Linked DNA regions of Tamandua tetradactyla. The protein of the gene in region 2 purifies or fractionates together with the protein of the main gene of each other region. This does not show direct contact. Links are inferred from orthologs where the notes say so. Each region holds a gene or a part of one and is shown on either strand. Other genes may lie near its edges.

What was found. The genes of interacting proteins can lie anywhere in the genome.
Region 1: the proteins of OTUD5 (region 2) and KHDRBS1 purify together in Homo sapiens (affinity purification with mass spectrometry, with the first as the bait; 3 studies listed by BioGRID). This does not show direct contact. The link is inferred for Tamandua tetradactyla from reciprocal best matches to the Homo sapiens genes OTUD5 and KHDRBS1.

The regions. Positions count from the first base shown.
Region 1 is NC_135328.1:193,831,388-193,842,556, forward strand, and holds the start of KHDRBS1 (KH domain-containing, RNA-binding, signal transduction-associated protein 1), read right to left. Parts: upstream 5,091-11,169; 5' UTR 4,929-5,090; coding exon 4,547-4,928; intron 1-4,546. UniProt on the Homo sapiens protein: Recruited and tyrosine phosphorylated by several receptor systems, for example the T-cell, leptin and insulin receptors. Once phosphorylated, functions as an adapter protein in signal transduction cascades by binding to SH2 and SH3 domain-containing proteins.
Region 2 is NC_135353.1:121,201,413-121,211,712, reverse strand, and holds the start of OTUD5 (OTU domain-containing protein 5), read right to left. Parts: upstream 5,344-10,300; 5' UTR 4,940-5,343; exon of another isoform or gene 4,759-4,939; 5' UTR 4,482-4,758; coding exon 3,888-4,481; intron 1-3,887. Other genes in the region: A-type voltage-gated potassium channel KCND1, read right to left, coding at 8,966-9,191. UniProt on the Homo sapiens protein: Deubiquitinating enzyme that functions as a negative regulator of the innate immune system. Has peptidase activity towards 'Lys-48'- and 'Lys-63'-linked polyubiquitin chains. Can also cleave 'Lys-11'-linked ubiquitin chains (in vitro).

The DNA.
Region 1 (11,169 bases), on a different chromosome or scaffold from region 2:
AAGAAACTGCTTTATCATAGATATATGTTTAACAATATTTTGATTAACCTTGCTAGTATTTGTGTTCTATAAAAATAGTATTGTACTATATATAGTCCTCTGGGAATGACTTTTTCACTCAACATTAGATTTCCAACATTTCTCCTTGTTGCATGTAGCTGTAGTTCATTCATTTCAGTTTGTGAATATATCACAGTATACAATCAATGGTGAACAAGTTGCACCATTTCGTGAACTAGGTGCATCATTTTATGAATGATGTGTTCATATACAAAAGTTTCTTTAGGCACATTATTAGCAATGGGGTTGTGAAGTTTCAAAAATTTGTTCAGTTGTCAGAGTAAATGCCAAACCATTACCAAAGTGGTTATATCAATTCACACTTCCACCAGTAAGGTTTAAGAGTTCCTTCTACTGCACATTCTCTCAAGTCTGAAGTACTGTTTGACTTCAAAATTTTTTGTCAACTTAGATTATTACTTTCCTATCTCAAAAAAAGTTTCTACTTATTTATCCTTATTTACTCTTTTAGCTACCTTATATTCAATTTGTCAAACTGAAAGAAAAAAATGAATCAAGTTGAAATGTTTGGAAAGTGTACAAAATCAACAAGTTAATTTAAATCTACTGTCATCTTCCCCCTCCCTCTGCCACCAAGGACATCACATATTTCTCTATTCAGATATTCCTTCATAACCTTCAGTAAAATTTTAAATTGAGTAACCATGTGATTACATATTTATCTGTAACATTAAGATAAGAAATTCTTCCTGTTGATAGAATGACCAGAAGAATGGAGATAATGACTATAAAATGAGCAGCACATTACCTGCCATGTAATATGCTCTACAAAAATTAAAATTATACTAATATTATTATTATGATTATTCACATACATCTTGTGCTAATGTTGTTTATTCCATGGTATTTTATATTATTCTAACAAGATCCTTTGGTCCATTCATTTTCTAATTGCTTGTATATTAGAACCCTATAGATCTATACATTTTCATCTGGTAATCAGCTGCACTAATGACCACTTTCCTAGGTGAACAATGATGCTGTTGCCAATAATGAAGCTTTGACTCTTTTCTAATATTTATACACTACATTTGCCCCACAGTTCCTTTGCAATGCCACTTTCTAATTTTAATAAGAGGTTTTGCTAGCTGTGTAGAATGAACTAGGGTCTCACTATCTTTCTATAACATAAGTCAAATAAAGGAATTAACAATCTTGACGGGTCTACAGATTGTAAAATGTTCTCCACTGCACGCTTCTGGAGGATGCACTTCTGAGTCTCCTTTTAAAATCGTCTGGAGATTGTTAATTTGTTTAAATGTTTATTTCTGAGTCATTTATACTAACTTATGTTTTCCTAATTGTAAAAAGTAGAAAAAGAACACTTACTGTATATAAAAGCATCTTATACTTTGTAAATATGTTAACACAAATAAATTTTTTTCTTTCAGAAAACAAGCATGGGTTACTGACTTTCTGAGTCCTTATGTTTGCAATTGCATTTAATTGCCATCACAGCTGAATAACAAGTTGGCTAATTTACAAGTTTATATTAAAAAATCTACATCCCTCAAAACTGTGTTATTTTTCCATCACATAATGAAGAAGAACATTCATTCATTAACTCTTCAGTAAAAGGCCACTGTACAGCACTCTTCTAGGCATAAGAGATACAGCAGTGAACAAAACAGACAAAAATCCTTGCCCTCACAGCACTGACAATCTAGCCATGAATGAGAAGGGATAGGTAAACAAACAAATATATAATTATAATATATAATGTATCAAGATGCTGTAAGTGCAAAATAAAGTTGGGAATGGGACAGGGACAGGTGTGTGTGTGTGTGTGTGTGTCAGGGTTGGGATGGGGTGTAGCAAGTAGTCTGGGCTTCAAGACACCTTTTGGGAATGGGCAGAGATGCCTGAGAGAACTGCAGTTCCAAGTGCTTGGCTCTGTTCTCCTGGGTTTCCATCTCCTCTTGCTTCTTGGCCTTGTCATCTTTACTACCATGTTAGTTGTCTGATATTTTCAAATAGATTTATCTTAATATTTTAACCAATTAGGGCTTAATTCTTTTTTTTAATTGTTTAGGGCTTAATTTTTAAGTACAGTTTGGTGCAGGTGGGGGTGGTGGAGTAGGTGTGTGGATCCAAACTCAGAATAAGTTTAAATCCTAGCTCTGTTACTTATTAACTTTCCTTGGGTAAACTATTTCATCTCTATATGCTTCAGTTTCCTCATCTGTGAAAATAAGGTTAAGAGTAACTTCCTCATAGTGTGATCCTGAAGATTAAACATTTAATGTAAGGAACTCAGACCAGTGCCCGGCACTTAACATGTGTCCTCATCAGTGCTAAAATACTGTCTCCTCAGTCTCATTTTCTTGAAGTTGATTGTGACTTCACTGCAACTTTTTTTCCAAATCATTCAGAAATACCACAAAAGTCAGGCCCATCATATATCAAGACTTATACATGCTAAGAGGTATCCAGTATTTCAATTCTGTTCTCTCTTTGAGCCAACATCACATCAATTCCATTTCTCCAAATAAAAATTTCAATTTGGTTAAAAAAAAAAGGGCATAGCCAATACCAAAAAAATTAAAGAGCATGCTCTTGGATAACAGAAATTAAGCAGTGAGGGGAGGGTGAAAATTTTAACTTTTAAGGATCAGTATTTTTAAATGATTATCCTAAGAAACCTTTTTTTTTTTAACTTAAAACATGAACATCACACTGGACACTCCAAAAGGTCAGAAAATATCTTTAGTTTTCATATCTTATTCAGTACCATGGATTTATAACTAGAAGACAAGTGTGATGACAATTTATTACTTAATGATTATAGGCCAAAGGAAACTGTGCTAGTGCTTTTACACATCATTTACTCCTCGTAATTTATCATTCCCACTTTACAGATGAGGTTATTAAGGCTGAGAAAACTTCCCAAGAACACATAACTAATTGTGGGTAGAATTTTAAACTGGTTCCAACACCTTAATGTTCTAAAGCTTGTTATTTTCTTCTGATGCATTTAAGGTGGACTGAATTTAAAGATTTGGGGAAATAAAATTAAACTAAATCAACCTTTACCACTTAGCCTGCAAGTACATGTTACCAGGTTCAACCAAACACTTGGTGTTTGCAATATGCAAGGCAGTGTGAAAAAGAAAAAGAAAAAGCAGTCCTTGGCCTCAAAGAGCTTGCTAGAAGAACACAAGGAATAGTAGTAATGTTCCAAACAATCCGAAAGAATTTCAGAACAGTAAAGCACTGAGTTGAAAAGCGTCAACAGTTTTATCAAATATTTTATTCTTGACCACTGGGAGCTTTGCTTTTTGTGTTTAAAAGTAAAGACCCCTTATCAATGTTGGGAGATAAGAGAACAAAGGGATCATTTCATTTATAATCATCTAACTACTCATTCAGTGTCGAACGCTGTAAAATTTTACTTGCTTAATAAAATTTAGGTACCGTAAGAAATACCTATTAAAATAATATTTTAACTAGAAGCTAAGGTAAAACAGCCGGCTTTGGGAAGAAATCACAGCGACAAGGGGATTGGTCAGTGCTGATCAGAAAAGGAGAGCTAGTCTACAGAGAACAAAGACTAACATTCCTAATCTCTATTTCACTACTGAAGCAAAAAGAAGGAAAAAAAAAAAACCACTCACAAGCCTTTTAGGTACAACCATCGCGCAACTTATCTCAATAATCTATAATTGTCCATCTTCTTCGGAAATGTTTGGCAAACCACCCTGGTGTCCCTTACCTTCCTCTATCATCCCATACCACTGTCTATAGGGCTATTTTTCCCTTTCTTGAATGATGAGAGTGAACACACGTTGTAAAACTAAGGTCACCAATCTTCCAGCTCTGTAACAATCATTTTATCGACCTAACTCGGAGATTTGTTTCCGAAAACCTCAAGTTCCGACCCTCACTGGTCGCTAGCTACAACCTCTGGGCAACTCAATCTTCAGTCACCACCAAGACCCACCCAGCCCTAGCGTTGGCGGCGCGCTGGACAGGGCACTCCAGCCTCAACCTGAACCACACCTCGGCCTCCCACAGTCCCTCCTCGCTCGGGTTCAGTCTTCATTTCCTATGCTCTCAGTTGAGACGCGTACCACCACCAGCCATCGAAAAGGTTTTCCCCGTGGGGGAATCGGGAGATACACATTCATTTCTGGAAGAAGCTGAACACTTGGAGCGCGGGGCAGCTGCAAGAGGTGGGAGGGAGGAGGGTTAGGAAAGAGGCGGGGAACTCAGCACCATCCATCAAGATCTCTGCGCTAAGAGATCGCCGAGCCGCCTTCGAACCTCCATCGCAGAAATTCTCCCTCGCACCCCGAGCAAGGAGAGGAATTTGGAATCCAGCTATACGGAGGACGAGGATGAAAGGGGAAGAAGGGTCCACGACCGTCTCGGTCCCGGAGGCGCGGGAAGCGAGAGGAACAAAGCCGCTGCCACCCACGCCACTGGGTGGCCGGGTGACCCAGAGGGACCCGAGCGGTCCGCTTACCTGCCGTCAGCAACTGCATGGCATGAGTAAAGGAAGGATCGAGCGAGTCCTTCTCGGCCATGAGTTCAGGCAGGTACTTGTTCTCCGGCTCCATCTTGACCGAGGCAGTAGCTGAAGGGGGCAGCAGAGGGGTCGGCGCTGGACCGCCCACTGTCGCGTCGGGACCCGTGGCCGAGGGCGGCAGCAACGGTGGCGGCTGCGTGGCGGGCGAGGCCCGGGCGGCTCCCCGGGATCCTCCTCCGCCTCCCCGGGACCGGTGAGAGAGCGGAGGCTGCCGAGACGGTGCCTGACGCACTGAGGAGTGGGCTCCTGAGGGGTCCATGGAGCCACTGCGGCCCGAGGACCGGATCATGCGCGCGGCGGGGTCGTCCCGGCGCTGCATCTGGGAGGCTGTGTAGTCGAAGGATCGAGGAAGCGACGCGGCAACAGCAGAGGCCCTAGCGGCGGTTGGCGGAGGTGGGAGAGCGGGAGCGACAGCGACCGAAGCCGACCCGAGCGACCCAGCGAAAGAGAGCACCGGAAATGAGACGGCGCGCGTGCGCAGCCAGTCACCGGCACCGCCCTTGGGTTTCTCCGCGGAGAACAAAGTCCCCAATTGGGCCATGGCGCCTGCGCACCACTGCAGCGCTCGAAGAAGTCTCCTCCCCATTTCCCTTTTCCCTCCGAGTTCGACAGGCCTAAGCTTTTTGCGCATGCGCAGGTCGCCGCGGGCTTCGTTAGGTTTCTTTGCCACGTGACTCGACCCTAGCGGGACACGTGTCTCCTCCCCCTTCAGATCGACAGAGCGAAGGGGGCGGGGACTATGGAATGTCTTTGTCTGCGGGCGGGGGGGCGGAGTGTGGGGCAGGAGGCCTGTTACTTGCGAGGCTACGCCCCCTCCAACGGCTAATCTGCGCTCAATAGGGTGGACTTGGGGGTGGGGGTGGGGTGCAGGGGGTTCGCTGAAGGGAGGAAATGAGAGGAGACCTGGGTTGAGGGACTGGTGAAGACGAAGAAGAGAGAATCGAGGCTGCCTGGGCAGGAAGAGAAGGGAGAGAGGCTGCCTGGAGTAGGGAAAGGGGAAGAGGTAGGGCACCAGGAGACAGGGATGAGGAGGGGAAGATAAGTTAAAGTCTCGAGCAGCTATGAGGAATGGAAATGGGGAAGGAAGGTTTGGAGGCAGAAAGAGGGAGAACGGCGCTGTGGAAACCTTGAAATCTGGAGGATTTGAATTAAGAGTGAAGGTACAGATCGGAGGCCTAGCAAAGAAAAGGACCCCAGCCCCAATCCAGGAAACGAGAGAATTCATATCCTGTGATTTCCAATATAGTAGACATTGAAACATTAGCCACTGTTGTTCAGAGATGTTTTCTTAAAAGAAACATTTTAGCTCTTACATATAGTACTGATTCCTGCTGGTTAAGTGTTTCTAACATATACACACCAAGTGGTTTTGAGTGTTATTGCTCTTGTCTTCGTTGGGCCCCTCACTATAGATTGTTCCATACTTGCTGAAAGAGACAAACCCTTGCCACTGCTCTGAAGGCCAAGATACGAAGAGGACATTCTCCGACGGCATCTTTTTTTTTTTTTCTTCCATGATAATTTAATTAGATGGAACAGATCAAATTTTTCTCCTTTTTGATCTAATGCCTAGGTTTTCCCCCACTAAATGGGCCAGTTGTCTTATATAGGAGTTGTTGTTTTTAAAATGCAATTTTACTGAGATATATTCACATACTGTATAATAATTCAAAGTGTACAATCAGTGGTTCACAGTATCATCTTATAGTTGTGCATCCATTATCACAATCAATCCCACAACATTCTCATCCTGGGGTGTTATATGCAAGCAGAGCCTGTCTTTATTTTCCCATATCCCCTCAAAAATCTGGTGATTTCTCTAACTTTTCCTTCCATCCACAGATTTTCACTTCTCCCATTGACGGCACTCAATTTCTTTTCCCTTTGGATCATTTCCCCTAATGAGCCTACCCTTTTCAAAGATGTTTCTGGAAATTATTTTCAGGGTGCCTGGAAACTATTGATTTTTGGATATGAGAGGTAAAAGCATTCAACTAGGGAACATAAAGGCCTGACTACCTTCTTGGGGGTGGGAGAGAGAAATTACCTTCAGAAATGAGAACAAAACACAAATCTCCATAAATTATCTTACCAGTCTTACCCTCCCCCCCCATTAGACTCTAGGCCCCAATATTTTTTTTAACTTCAGTGTCGGGAGCAATACTTTTCTTTGATGTCATATAAGAAGTGGCTTTTGGGGTGCATGGGTAGTTCAGTGGTTAGAATGCCCACCTTTCATGCAGGAGACCCAGGTTCGATTCTCGGACCATGCACCACCCCCCCTCCAAAAAAAAAAAGTGGCCGTTGTCCTCAGGTGGTTTACAGCCAAGTAGAAGAAAAAAGAGAGAACATTTTTGAATAATTGCAATGCAAAATATAAATGTAACAAGTGCTAAATATAAGTGAAAATTTAGTGCTAATGAAGTTCAAAGTAGGAGAAGATAGATTTCAACTAGGGGAGGATGAGTTCTGGGTAAAGAGAATTGTGAGTAAATGAGCAGAGATGAGAGTGCCAGAGATGCATTCAGGAATGGGGGTAATCCAATTGTGTACTGTAAAGGAATAGGTGGGTCTAGGGAGCTATTGCATGGAGGAGCAGAAAAGGAGCCAGGAGAAATTATAGCTCCCTTGTAACTCATTTCTCCCACCATCATTGAAAATCCTGCTTGGGTGGTGGACTACAAATGGCTGAAGTGTCCCTGTGCTGTAATGAGATGCCCAAATGGAGGTACCTTGAGATAACTAATAAAACTTTTATAAAGAAGGGTCTGAGAAGAAGCTGGGTAGTGTGTTATCTGTGGGTTTTCCAGACTAGAATCAACAGCCTTTCCTGTGGCTGCCAAACCCTTACCTTCTCTGGAGGGTGGGATGGGGTATGCTTTTCTGGTGAGAAGCACAAAAGGTAATCTGAGACGAGGTTATTGATGCTGCCGTGTCCTTATTTTTACCAAGTGATGCGGCTGTCTTCCTTTTGTGGGGCTCTTCCTGGGATTAGGAAAGAGTAATCCTGTCCTGAAGGCCCAGAGGTCTGAAGTTCATTTTGTGTTGATCAGAATCAAAAGAGTCAAAAGACTCTGACTTTGGAGTGAGGTAGACAAACTGAAATCCAGCGACGCTTTGTCATTAGGAAAATGCTGTATGTCATTAGGAAAATCACAACCTCTCTGAGCCTTTGTGTCCTGTAACGTGAGGGTCATGCATGGCATCTGCCTCACAGGGTTCCTGTGCACATCAACAACACCAGTGTTAACCTCCTGACACCTCATTATTCTTATGACAGTTTGTGCCTAATGAAGATTTTTGGGTACTTTATGTTGGTTCTGGGTCTGAAAGGCGTAGTGTGTAATCTGTATCGTTTTCACTGACTATAGCTAGGCTTTGTTTTGGAAGGGGAAGGCCAAGCAAGAAGACCAAGTTTCTTTTCCCCGCCCAGTTACTGTGGTGGAATATGCAGGAACAACTGAGAATGCCATGATTCAAACGGAACTAGGTCCGAATTGTGCCTCTACCTTTTGCATGCTGGTGACCGAGCAAGTTACATCACCTTGCTCAGCCTCTGCTTCCTCCTCCTTCAGAAAACAAGGGGTAATAACAATACCTATCTCAGAGCTATTAGGATTAAAAGAGATAGTGTCTGTAAAGCACTTAGCATAGAGGTTGTCAATTAGTAGGTGCTTGATAAGCAATAGCGGTCATTGTTATTATTACTACACACATTAATTGAGTACTTTAGTGCAGACTTTCACTTTCACTTGAGTCCCTAATGGATGGGCTGGAGGATTAAAGTTTGCCTGCAGTTGCTGGACCTGTGTGACCTCCATGGATGGGTGTCTAGCAGGCCCCATCTACTTCCCCTGCATCACAGCCAGTTCCCAGGAGAGAATAGCTCTGTCTCTGGGCAGGAGGGTTTCTCTTCCAAGAGTGTAGTTTGTCTGTTTAATCTTAAACCTACTGAGTGCCAAATATATAGAGGGAGAGGAGAAGGGATGGGGGGAGGGGCGGGAGTCAACATTGAATAAGAGAGAGTCCCTGTCCTCGAAGAGCTCACTGTTTAGTGAAGGAGACAAATAAATAAGCCAAGAGTTACCACGCAGTATCATTTTCACTGACTATAGCTAGGTAATAGAAGAATATACAAAGAGCTGTGGGAACACACAGGAAGGAGTGACCGACCAACTGCCAGGATGAGTTAGGGAAGTTGGATCTTTGGGGAGTTGCCAGGTGGAGCAAGGGCAGGACATTTAAATGATGGGATTTCAGCAGAGCTTGGCCCTGAGCCTGTGTACTGTGTCCTCCACACTTAAGGCTCTGGAATTCAGATCTCCAACCCAAACTTATGAGTTCCAGATCCTGATAGCCAATTACATCATGGACATATGTCCATTTGGATGTCTCAAAGGCCCTTGAAACTCAACTGTCCCCTCTAACAGAACTCAAGCTGCAGGTACTAGCAGTGCTGCTTTTGGGCCCAGGTGACTTAACATAGCTCCCAGTTTGGAAGTGTCTCCTCCTTCCTGGGCTGGGGCTTGGTCCAGCCCCTTGAGAGCTTCAGGGCTAGCAAAACTTAAGAAAGCACTCACTTGCAGGGCCATCCTCCTTGCTTGCCTTCCTGTGGTCCTGACGTTACCCTTAGTATTCTCACAGAGGGTACCTTTGGTAGGGGGCAGTGGGCAGGGGCAGAGGGAAGCACAGCAGGGCTGAGGGACGTAGTCACTGCAGTCCACAGGCAGCTTTGTCTGTGAGCAACATGTGAAAAGTCCCTTGAAGCATCCCAGAAACAATTGAAAGGGACTTTCCAGAAGTAAGAGCAGGAATTCTGCATGGCTGATATTCATGAAACTTTGTTTGAACCCATAGGCCAGTGAAGCCTGCTTGGAATTTGAAGTATAATTATCTTTTTTATTTATTGCCCAACAAGAAGGTGAGCTGCTTGAGAGCAGGAACCATTTCTGTCTTTGTATAGAAAGAGGCTGGCACCAACTAGGCACTCAAAAAATAAAATGTGTACAAAAGAATGAAATTCCCATTCTCTTGGCTACCTTTACTTGCTCCTTGTCCAGCGTCCTCTGTCTTAGGGAACTGCTCCAAAACTCACTGCACAAGCCAGAAATCTGGGACTTGTCCTTAATTTTCCCCCATTGTCTCACTGCTCTATCTCCACCAATGTATTAGTAAGAACTATTGTTTTTGGAACCTTGAATAGGGACTGAGATCTTGTTGGTTTGTACAGGTTAGTATCATGCCCTGATATATCCCAGAGTAATCTGGGCAGAAAATAAAGCAGAATTTGCAAAGCAACCTTCAGAGACTGGGGGGAAATGTGGAAATATTAAACTTTGCCAACGGGAAAATTCTTGATATTCTCACAATCATTGGGGACTACCAATTTAACAGGTCAAGCCCTCGATCTTGGTGCTCACCCTTATGAAACTTATTCCTGCAAAGGAGAAACTAAGCCTCCTTATAATTAGGCCTAAGACTCCCCCCCCAGAGAACCTCTTTTGTTTCTCAGATGTGGCCTCCTCTTTAAGCCAACGCGGCAGATAAACTCATTGCCCACTCTGTTACATGGGAGATGACTCCCAGGCATGTAAATCTTCCTGGCAATATGGTACATGACTCCCAGCATCATGGTACTGAGAAAGCCTTCTTGACCAAAATAGGGAAGAGAAATGAAACAAAGTTTCAGTGGCTGAGAGCTTTTGAACAGAGTTGAGAGGCTATCCTGGAGGTTATTCTTATGCAGTATGTAGATATCCCTTGTTAGTTTATGGTTTACTGGAGTGGCTAGAGGGAAGTTCTTGAAACTGCTGAACTGTGTTCCAGTAACCTTGATTCTTGAAGACAATTGTATAACTATATAGTTTTTACATGTGACTGTGTGATTGTGAAAACCTTGTGGCTGACACTCCCTTTATCCAGAGTTCAAATAGAAGAGTAAAAAATAAGGACAAAAAATAAGTAAATGATATGGGGGGAAGGGATCTGAGAAGGGCTATGGGATATTGTGGGCATTCCTTTTTATTTCTATTTTTATTTTTATTTTTTTAGAGTAATGAAAATGTTAAAAAGTTGATTGTGGTAGTGAATGTACAACTATATGATACTGTGAACCACTGATTGTACACTTTGGATGATTATATAGTATGTGAATATATCTCAGTAAATTTGCATTAAAAAAGAACTATTGTTTATACCTCATAATACAAATCTCACCCACATTTCTCTATCTAAATCGCCTGTACCTCCATCTGTGGTTCCATAATGCTTCACCTGAACTTCTGTCAGCTTCTAACTGGCCTCACTACTTCTGCTTCTGTGCTCCTTCAATCGATTCCCAGATACCAACACAATATTTTCAAAGTGCAGACTGATCATCTCTCTCTCTCTCTCTCTCTCTCTCTCTCTCTCTCTCTCTCTTTCTCTCTCTCTCTCTCACACACACACACACACACACACACACACACGAACGCAAACACCAGCTTAAATATTTTGCATGGCTTCTTGCCTCTAGCCTTGAGGCATTTATGCTACCAGCCTGGCTCATTAAGCATTTGCGT
Region 2 (10,300 bases):
CAGAGAAGTTCACAAAATGTTCACAAAAGGTAACATATACCCCAAAGCAGAGGGGGCCCCACTTAAAACTTTCACTGGAGGTAGTCTGAGGAGGGACTAGAACTTGCTTTAGAGCTGGATGGATCGCTAGATCAGTGGGTCCAACCTCCCTCCTCACCACTAGCCATTTTATGGATGGAGAAACTGAGGCCCAAAAAGAGAATTATCTAAAGACAACACAAAAAAGGTTAACGCAGAAACAGGACACAAACCCAGGTTGCCTAGGCAGAGATCACCTCCTGCTATACCACTCTACCTCTCCACCAGCTATCTATCCAATTCCAGAAGGTGTAAAAAGAGTACAAGGAGTCTGCAAGTTCCTAGGTGCCAAATAATGCATCCTTACTATCAAAAATGGGTTACTATGGGTAGACAAAGGCTCTTCAGATGAACCAAGATGATCCTGGGGGAAAACTGCCCATCCTGGACAAGAGAAAAAAACAGCCAAGGTCCAAGGTGAGTAAGGTCAGGTACTTGCACACTCAGTAACCCTAGGCATGAGTGGACTTTGCAGAAAAGGCAGCTGAGAGAGGAAGTAGTTTGCCTAAAACCTTAAAGCAGCAGCTAAGACTACACAGCTTTGAACTCAAGCCTGCCAGGCTCCAAAGCTCAAACTCTTTCCACACACAACCTGACCTCCATACCATCCAACAGACTCCTTGTCACCACAGCACACCAAAAAAAAAAAAAAAATCAGTCTGCCAACCCTGATTTTTGTACCAATAGGCCACTTGTCCTGCCCACCAAGCCTTGATGGCTGGGAAGGAAAAGAGGGGGCAGGGAAGAGAGGAGAGGAATCCAGTACTTCCTCAAAAGATACCTACCATTCTCTGCCACCTCCAGGTGAGTTCCCTAAAATTCCAAAGCCAAATAACACCTCACCAGCACCCCTTTCTTACCTGATCAATGAAAAAACTGAGGTCCAGAAAGCATAGATAAAGCCTATTCTGGCTTACCAGGCAAAGTAAACAAAACAGGGCCAGAGCTGTCAACCAAATGCCCTGGCTTACAGTGCCAGGCCCAGCTTCTTCAACCAACAGCCCACCTCAGCGCGTGCACACACCAAAGAGCTCTACGCGCACACACACACGCGCACACACACGCACACACGCACACGCACACACACCAAAGAGCTCTGTGAGGTACTTAAGCTCAGGACGTTTACAAGCCATTCTTTTTATAGGGAAGACTCTCAGCAAGGCAGCCATACCTGGGAAAGGAAATCCCTAACATCACCACCACCCTAGCACCTGGACCCCAAAGTACCAAAAGGTCTCCTAAAGTAAGCAGGGGTATGTATGTTCACAGCATTGGGATGAACAGAAAACCTGAGTGGGGCGCCAGATTCACTATCTGGGCTCCCCCTCAACAATTCCCCTCTTTCCAAAGGGTTCAATTGATCTCCAGGTTACAAATGCCTCCAGTGACAGTTCAGGACCAAGACTGGAGTTACAGTCAGCAAAAAGTCTAAAGGCTAGACCAGCCGAAGCAGGGAGAAGAGGAGCATTTTCTTCTGCTTCAAGTACAAGCCTCTCCTCTGTCACTGAGAAGTGAAAGTTTCATGAGCCCACAGGGTTTTATCTCCTTGTTCTTATGAGAAAAAGCAGAAGGGAGGGACTCCCAAACTAGGAGATGCAAAGGGGGTGAAGGGAGGCGTTTTTCTAGCCATCATGACAGCATAGGACTTTCTTTCTTTCTCTCCCTGGGTCCAGGGATGGATCACTCCCTATTCCTTTGGGGAGGAAAGGCAGACTTCACCCCAATTCAGGAGAGAAAAAACAACAAATGATGGGTGGAAAGAGAATGAGAACAGAAGGTTCAAGAAAAGGCCCTGGTCCCTATGAAGTGCATCAAGGGTGAGTGGGATGTGGGAAAAGAATTTCCCTGGAGTGGGGAGGCCCCAAACCCTTTCCCTATCCCTGAAAAGAAGAAAGCTTCTCAAATACAGGAGTTCAGGAAGCTTAGAATATTTCCCAGACTGTGGAAGTGGGAAGCAAGCATAGTTGAGTCAGAGTCAGACTCAGAATACCTCCAGTTCCTGAAGGGAGGCCTCAGATTCCATGTCCCAGGACAGATCCCCTAGAAAGTAGGGGAACCTTCCTGGCCCTAACCTTGAGAGGGTTTAGGGTAAGGGATTCTTATGACCCTGAAGGGGCACTCAGGCTGTTCTGTTCAATAGAGGAAGTTTAGGCCACGCTGGGAGAACCTTAGGTACCTTTCCCTGGTGAGAATGAATTATCTGGTGGGGGGGGGTGAGGGAGGGATGAGGGAGCTGCACACTCAAAGAAGGCTCCAGCCCCAGTTCAAAAGGGGAAAGATCTCTTGAATTTGAGGGGAAGGTCAGGCCCCTGGAAAAAGGCTCAGAGCCTGTGTCTCAGAATCTCACCCTACCTGGTGTCCCCAAGTTGAATGGGGAGTTCTCAGGACTCAGTTCACAAGTGGGGAGAGGATTCTCAGACACAAGTCTCCAAGGCAAGAAATCTTATATCCATAAAGGTGCCTATGACCTGGGTGTGTGTATGTTGTCTGAGATGAGGTGACAGACAGTATCCTCAGGACAGGTTCAAGTCTCAGGTCCTGAGAGGGGAGGATCTTATGTATCTGAAAGTTCAAATGCTTAAGTGGGGGGACCATGGGGATGGGGACACTCAAGCCTCTGCATCCATGTATCCCATGTCCCAAGGGAAACATCTCAGAGCTCCATTCTGGGGGAGGGGGTGGGGTGGAAAGAATACTCCTGTTCCTTGAGGGAGAAGTCCAGTCCTCATCCTTAGAGACACAGCCATACTGTGGTATGTATGTGGGTCTCCTGTCCCTGAGGGAAAGCTCCAAGTCTCCTTGGCAGAGTGAGTATCAGGTCCGTGGCCCCAAAATGGGAGAACTCAGGCCCTTCAAGGCAGGCTTAGATCCCTGGGTAGGCCTCAGACCCCATCCCTGAGAACACTATGGTGCCCATGTTCCCTGAGTAGTAGTCTCAATACATTAAGGGAAAGCACAGATCCTTGTCACTCAGAGGAAAGATGAGTCTCATGTACCTGAGTAGAGATTCTGGTCCCTGGGGGTAGGTTTTGGCACTTGTCCCCAAGGGGGAGGGGGCTCTCACTTCCCTAAGAGATGTCTTATAACCCGGCAAAAAACCTTGTATCATCTCTAAAGAGTATGCATGTATGTGTGTCAGGCTGTTGATTCTAGAAAAGGGGAGTTTCAGGTCCCTAAAGGCAACCTTAGGACCCTTGAGGATGTCTCAGACCTCACTAATGAACAATCCTATACTGTATCTCCCTGGGAAAGAGGGAAGGTGAGGGTTGTCCCAGGCAAAATGTCTCACAATCCTGAAAAGGTTTAAATACTTTGGGATGCTCAGACTCCATCACTAAGGTCTCCACCTCCTTTGAGTTCCACGGAGGAGAAGTCTCCAGCTTTTATCACCGGGGAAAGAGGATCTTGAACCACGGAACATAGATCTAGTTACCTTGGAGAGAGGCCTGAGATCAGCCACTCCCACTCCTCCGGAGGCTCTTCATCCGGCCAGTGTCCCCTGAGGGTTTCTCACCTACTGGCCCTATCAGCTGAGAGCCTAAAGCCCCGAGTGACTATGAACCCTAGAAGAGGCTTCAGACCCCATCTTTAAGTTCCCCATCTTATCTAGGTCTCTAACCCAGAGTCCTCTGAAGGGAGTGATGTCTCGGGCCACTACCCCTAGAAAAAGGGGTGCCAGGCCCTGAGAGAAAGCTCAGGTCCCTCGAGGTGATCTGAAACGAGCCTTCCTCCGATCCCCAACCAGTCTGAGGATCCCATCAGCCATACCACCCACCACTCGCCGCCACCACCACCTCCCAAGCCCTTACCTGCTCGACAGTAGCAGGGTCCATGGCCTCAATACGTGCTGCGGCCGCTTCATACTCGTCCTCACTGTTGTAGCCTGCGCCGACCTCCTCTCGCTCGGGGCTGCCCCCGCCAACCGCGCCAACCCCAGGGGCTTGACGCCGCCGCTTGCTATGCCCCGGCCCAGAGCAGCAGCCGCCCACCCCCACGGTACCACCCACGCCCACCACCACGCCCGCCGCGCCCACGCCCGCCGCCGCTGCACCTAACGCGTCGCCGGGACCGCCGCCGGGACCGCCAGGACCCCCGCACGGAGGCGGAGAGGCCTGCTGCGGCCGGGGACCCGCCACAGCGCCAGGCGGTACGGCTAGCGCCCAGCGGTGAAGTGCACCCGGTGGGCCGGGTAACGGGCCCTGCGGTGGTGGTGAGGCCCGGGGACGGGCCCCCACTACGCCCGAGTCACGGTCGCGATCCCCGCCACCCACGCCTGTGCCGCCGCCGCCCACGCCCACACCCCCGCCGCGGCGCGGCGCCGGGGGCAGCGGCCCAGGCGGCGGCGGCTCGTTGGTGGGGTCGGCGTCGGGAGGCGGCGGCTTCTTTTTGGGGAGAATAGTCATGGCTGCACCACGGAGTACCCCCCAGCAAACCCGGCGCGCGGCACGCCGGGACGGGACCCGGATGGGAAGGGGGGGGTTCTACGATGGTGCGCGAAGCACGCCGGGAACGGCGGGACCCGGATAAAGGGATTGAGACGCCGGTTCGAGAATTGTCGGTCGCTCCCGAGTCACGCTGGCAGAGATCGGATGTGAAGTCCAAGATGCAGGCACCGCTGCGAGTTTGTCGTGGCCTTCTCTCCAAGTCCAGCACGTCTACTGCTACGCTCGTTTCGGCCTTCTGCTTCGAGGGAAACAGAACCAAAACAAGCCCTCTTCGCCCCGCCCCCTTCGCAGGTTCTTAAACTACCGGGTGGGGCCTGGGCGGCGCTACGCAGGCGCGCCGGGATACCGGCCCGCCCTTCGCTCGGAAGTACGTGGGCAAAATCTCCACTGCCGCCACAACAATTACGGGCACCAACCAATCAGATCAGCTGCGCGGGTTCTCAACGACGCCCACGGGCCAATTAGGAGCGAGCGTTGGCCCTCCGAGCCCTCCACCTTGAGACTTCAAAGTCTGCACCCTTGCTTCCCGCTTTTCTTCCCGTTGACCTCGTCCTGCCTTTCGCTTTTCTTCCCGAGGCTCTGCTTTGCAGGTGTGGGTACTGCGAAAGGCCAGTGCGGCCTGTGCCGCGCCGAGTGACGAGCACGCTTCACCTCCAGGCTCGCACTCTTGGCCGCAGTCAGCCGGACTGACTGGAAAACATCAACACTTCCAGTGCAAAGCAGCCCCTGCAACGTCTTTCCGGTCCCACCCACCTGCAAAAACCCATCAGGCAGAGAGGCGGGTGCCGCTTCACCCTGGCAACAGGCCGGATTCTGCGCTGGTTTGCTAGGAGACGCCGTCACTCACGTCGGAAGGGCCAACCTTGGGACAGAAACGCAACCTCCGAGGGAGCGGTAGGTGTTTGGGAAGCAGACACGCCCTCTCTGGGCACTACGGCAAGCTCGCCCTCGCGTTGACCTCCCCGCCCCTTCAGCTAAAGCGCAGGCGCGGCACAGCATTTTTCTGAAATACTGAATTTGCTTGGGTCTAGTGAATGTTTGCAAACCGACTCTGTCACTGGCTGGCGTCTCACAATGGGGTTGGTAAAAAAATCCCTGCTGTTGAGCGGCTGGAGAGCAGCAAGCTCATCCTAGCTCTGCCCTGCCTGTGTGAATGATCCTTGGCAAGTCATTTAACGCACGCACCGTCTTCAATTTGTACTTCTCTAAAATGCCAACGATGATTCCGGTTTTTTAAAAATGAGGATCAGAGATTGATGTTTGTAAAGGGATTGGTGCTGTGCCTGGCACATAGTGCTCAGTAACTTTGTTTCCGTGGCGGTACAGTGGAAGGATCCCAGGTTCGGGAGACAAGATTTCCATCCCAGTCCCGGATGGATCATCACCAAATAAATGTGTGACCCTAGGCAACTCATTGTATTGTTTTTGTTGTTGTTTTGTTTTAGTTTACTCGTGCAAAATGTGAATGATAATGTTTGTCTAGACAACCTCAGGGAGTAATTATGGTGTTCAGATGGATGGGCTCATGAATCAAAAAGTTCTGAAACGTGAGCGGTCCTTGTAATCTTAGGAGGCAAGCTATACAACAGGTTGAAAGAGAAACCATCAGAAATCTCGTCTGAAAGCCACCTATCTTCTCCCTTCAGATGCCTAGCAAGTTCAAGTTCTTCCCTGAGGGGTGCCAGTAATAAACGGGCTCTAGGGGTGTTTTCTGCTCATGAAACTTTATGGAAGTGAGGGGCACACATTTAGGGGCCTACATTTCCTGGACCACTATGTCAAATGACTTATGCACATTATCACACTGAATCTTCTCGAGATTATCTCACTCCAGAGCCATATCCCACTTCCTACTGAATATTTGTTCAGCACTATACATGTAAAACTGAGCTCTTAAGAATAATCATGGCTAACCTTTGCTAAGTATTTACTATGTTCCTGGCTCTGTGTGGCTAACAGCCTTAATGTTCCCTTTGACAGTGAATGGCACCACCATCCAACAGTTGCCCTAGCCAGAAAACTGGGACTTAACCATGACTGCTACCCTCTCCCTCAACTCCCAGTCAACCCAAACCTGCCAATTCTCCCTCCAAAATCTCTTGACTCCGAATTTCCCGCCATTACTCTGGTCCAAACCACCATCACTTCCCAACTATATACTGAAAAGCCTCACTGTTCTTCCTGCCTCCAGGACTCTCGCTCTATAAAACTCCACATTTCACAGCCTTCTGAAACATGAGCCTCACCATGACTCTCCTGTGGATAGGCCTACAGATGTTCCCATTAACCTTAGGATGAAGTCCAAAATCTGAATCATAGCTTCAGAGGTCTTTTGTGACCTGGCCTACCTCTACATCCTCACCCTCATCACAGCCTAACTCTTCCCCAGCCATACTGAAGTACTTTCAGCTCTCTATATACCCTGAGCTCGCTCTCTTAACTTCCAGGTCATTGCATATGTTGTTCCTTCTGCCCAAGTCGTTTCCGCCCCCTTGCCTTTTGCATGGCTAACTCCAATTCATTTTTCATGTGTAGGCAAGGTTAGGTTCTCCTGCCATCTCTATGCTCTTGTAACCCATCTACCTTTCTTCTACCACACTATATTGTAATTGCTTAATTGTCTTTGCCTTCTGTGTTCAACTCTCTAGTTTAGGGACAACGTCCACTTTACCCATCTTTGCATCCCTAGAATAAACGTGTGATATGTGTTTAATAAATATTTGGTGAACAAATGAGTGATTATCTCTATTGTACAGGTTAGTAGACAGACAAGAAAAGGTAAGTGATTCTCTCACCCAGGAATTGAAACCCAGGTCAACCTGAATTCAAGGTCTGTCTTCTTGTTGCTCCACAGAGTCTAGTCATACACCAACCTAGTATAATCAGTAGCCCAAAAGAGAGAATGTAGGGGACCTCCACGAGGAAAAGGAATGCACCAAACTCAGGGATGCTTTTCATTAGGATTAAATTCAGAGCTGCTTGCTACCAGGAAACCTGGGTTTGAGTCTCCTCCAACCAGCTATGTGCTCCCCTGGGTCTCAGTTTCCCCATCTTGAATAATCAGATAATGTCCGAGGGGTATGTCCCAGGGCATTTTCCTAGATCCCCATCTTCCAGAACATATCATTAACCATCCACCTGCTATACCTTAACCACACCAGCCCTTCTACTAGTTGAAAGGAATGGAAATCAGAGTGTTCTTAACCCGCCAGCCCAACCCAGCTCCCAAGCCCCCAGAGCCAGGAGGAGCTCAGTCCTCATCTCTCCTCTCAGATTTTATTGACTGATGGAAACTACATCTTTGTCAGCCACCAGCTCCACGGGGACAGTGCTAGGGACAGGGAACCTGAGATGATGCCAGAATTCAGCCTGAGAGCAGACACAGAGTTCCAGAAGGTGACCCAAGAGGGAGAAGAGAGAAGAATATGTGAAAAGGAGTTTTGGGGGAGGAGGAGGAGGAGATCGTGAAGTTCCTCTTGCCTCCTACAACTCCCAGAGTTCAGGACCAACCCAGGTCTCAGATCCCTTATGCTTCTGGACTCCAGCCCAAGATCTCCACACACAGCCAAGCACTTGCTGGCTGCTAGACTCTTATCTCAGTCAGTCCAGCCTCCAGCCCAACCCAGGAAGGAAGCAAACCAGAGAAGAGAAGGGAGGAATGGTTAGAGGTGGCCCTTCTGATTAGGGAAAATGTAAATGCTGCAGCAAACTGGGCAGAGGCTTTGCATAATGTCAGAGCAGCAGCTGCTATTGCTAGAGTTTGCTGGAGGCCCGGCAGAGGACGGGTTGCAGGGACCCATTTCCAGCAGCCAGGGAAAAAGGTGTTTGTGCTATCTGTGTGTGTTGGCAGGGGTGACCTGACCCCTCAGACAAGGCCTAGGGATGGCAGGTCACTGCTGAGGCCATAGCCCATGGAAGCCTGTGGTTGCATTCCAAGCTTCAGGGTCTGGGAGTCATTGGGCCTGGTAGAGAGTGGGGACCTCTCCTAGCAACCAGATCAGAAGTGAAGGTTATGTTCTCTGAACACCCAAACCTCCACAGGCCAGCCAGAAAGAAGAAAAAAATCTCAGCTCTCCTACTGGGACCAGAGCTAAGATGACAGATGGGAGCTTTACCTACCTCTAAGGGCCTGAGAGTAGGGGCATGCGGGGGGCCAGCTAGGGGAGAGGGACCAGTCCCCAAGTGCTGGGTCAAGGAAGCTGGGGGCCTGCAGACACCCAGCTCTTCAGCTCCCACCAGGAAAATCATCTGGAGTGGGAGAAGTTTCCTTTTTCCTGGTTATTTCCCTACCAGGTGAGCAGTTCTATGAAACTCCATTGCATAGTTCTCACTGGAGGGCAGAAGGGGTCCCCAGGCCTACCCCTCTGTGCCTCCTCAAAATATGGCTTTGGAAAGGAGGTCCCAAGAGTTGAGAGGGCCCTCTGGCTGGGTAGGCCCACCCTTCACAGGGAAGAGATCTTGACAGTCTCAGAGAGGAGGCAAGGGGTACCCAGGCTGGAGTTCCTGAGGGTGCTGCTGGCCCTGCCGCCGCCGCCAGGGGAAGAAGGCTGACTCTCATCTGGGGTGTTGGCAGGAGGGGTAGGGATACTGATAATGGCAGCCACGAAGTCCCGGCTGTCGCAGTTCAGGTCAAGGCTGTCATGGGGCTTGGCATTGAGGCTTGAACGGCTGTGGACAAGGGTGGGGAAGATGGAAGGCTCTTTAAAAAAGTCATGTCTTAATCATTGCCACAGTAATTATGGCATTTATTGAGCTCCTACTAGCATTTATCAAGCACCTGGCACTGTGCTAACTGCTTCCCCTATATCCTCAATCATGGTAGTAGAGAGTACGGGCTCCAGAGTCAGATAGTCTTGGATTCAAATCCCGGTTCCACTTTAACCACTCCAAGCCTCTCTTTCCTCTCATCTGTAACAAAAGAATAATGATATTTCCTACCTCCTAGGGTTGTTACGGAGAGTAGATGAGATAACGAATGATATAAAGTGCTCAGAACAGGGCCTGGGAACATAATGAGCACACACACACAAATATCATCTGTTGTGAACGATGGACCATAGGTAATAGTACGATGATAAAAATGTTCTTTCAGGAATTATAGCAAAAATACCACATGAAGGCAAAGTCTCAATAATACCATGGTATATGGGAACTTGGTATTGTACGTATTTTATGCATGATTATTCGGTAAACCTTTGACTTATCTAAAAAAATAAAATTTTACAACCTCTTACTAAGAGCAAAAAAAAAGTCACTTATTATGCTTGCTCATAATAACACCCAAGTCTTGACAATAGCCTACAGTAGGTATTGCATAATCTGCCCCCCTCTGCGTTCCTTTCTGATTTTGACTCCTACCACACTCCCCATTGTTCACTCCACTCCAACCACAGTAGGAAGCTGTGTCTCTAACATACAGACACAGTCCTGCCTCAGAGCCTCTGCACAGGCTGTTCCCCTTGCCTATAAAGCTCTTCCTCTAGATATCTCCCTGGCTCACTCCCTTAACTCCTTCAAGTTTTGGCTCAGACATCACCTCAGTAAACCCTTCCTGACTACACTGCTGAAACTGCATTAGCCCCTGGTCTCCACTCTATCACTCCAGCCTGATTTATTTTTCTCCTCGATGTTTACAAATGTTTAACATGCTACACAATCTGCATATGTGTTTGTTCATTAACTGTCTCATCCTGCTAGAATATAAGGTCCAGAAGGACAGGGTTTTCTGTCTGTTCTGTTCACTGCTTCAACCCATGTGCCTAAAACTGCCTGGCATT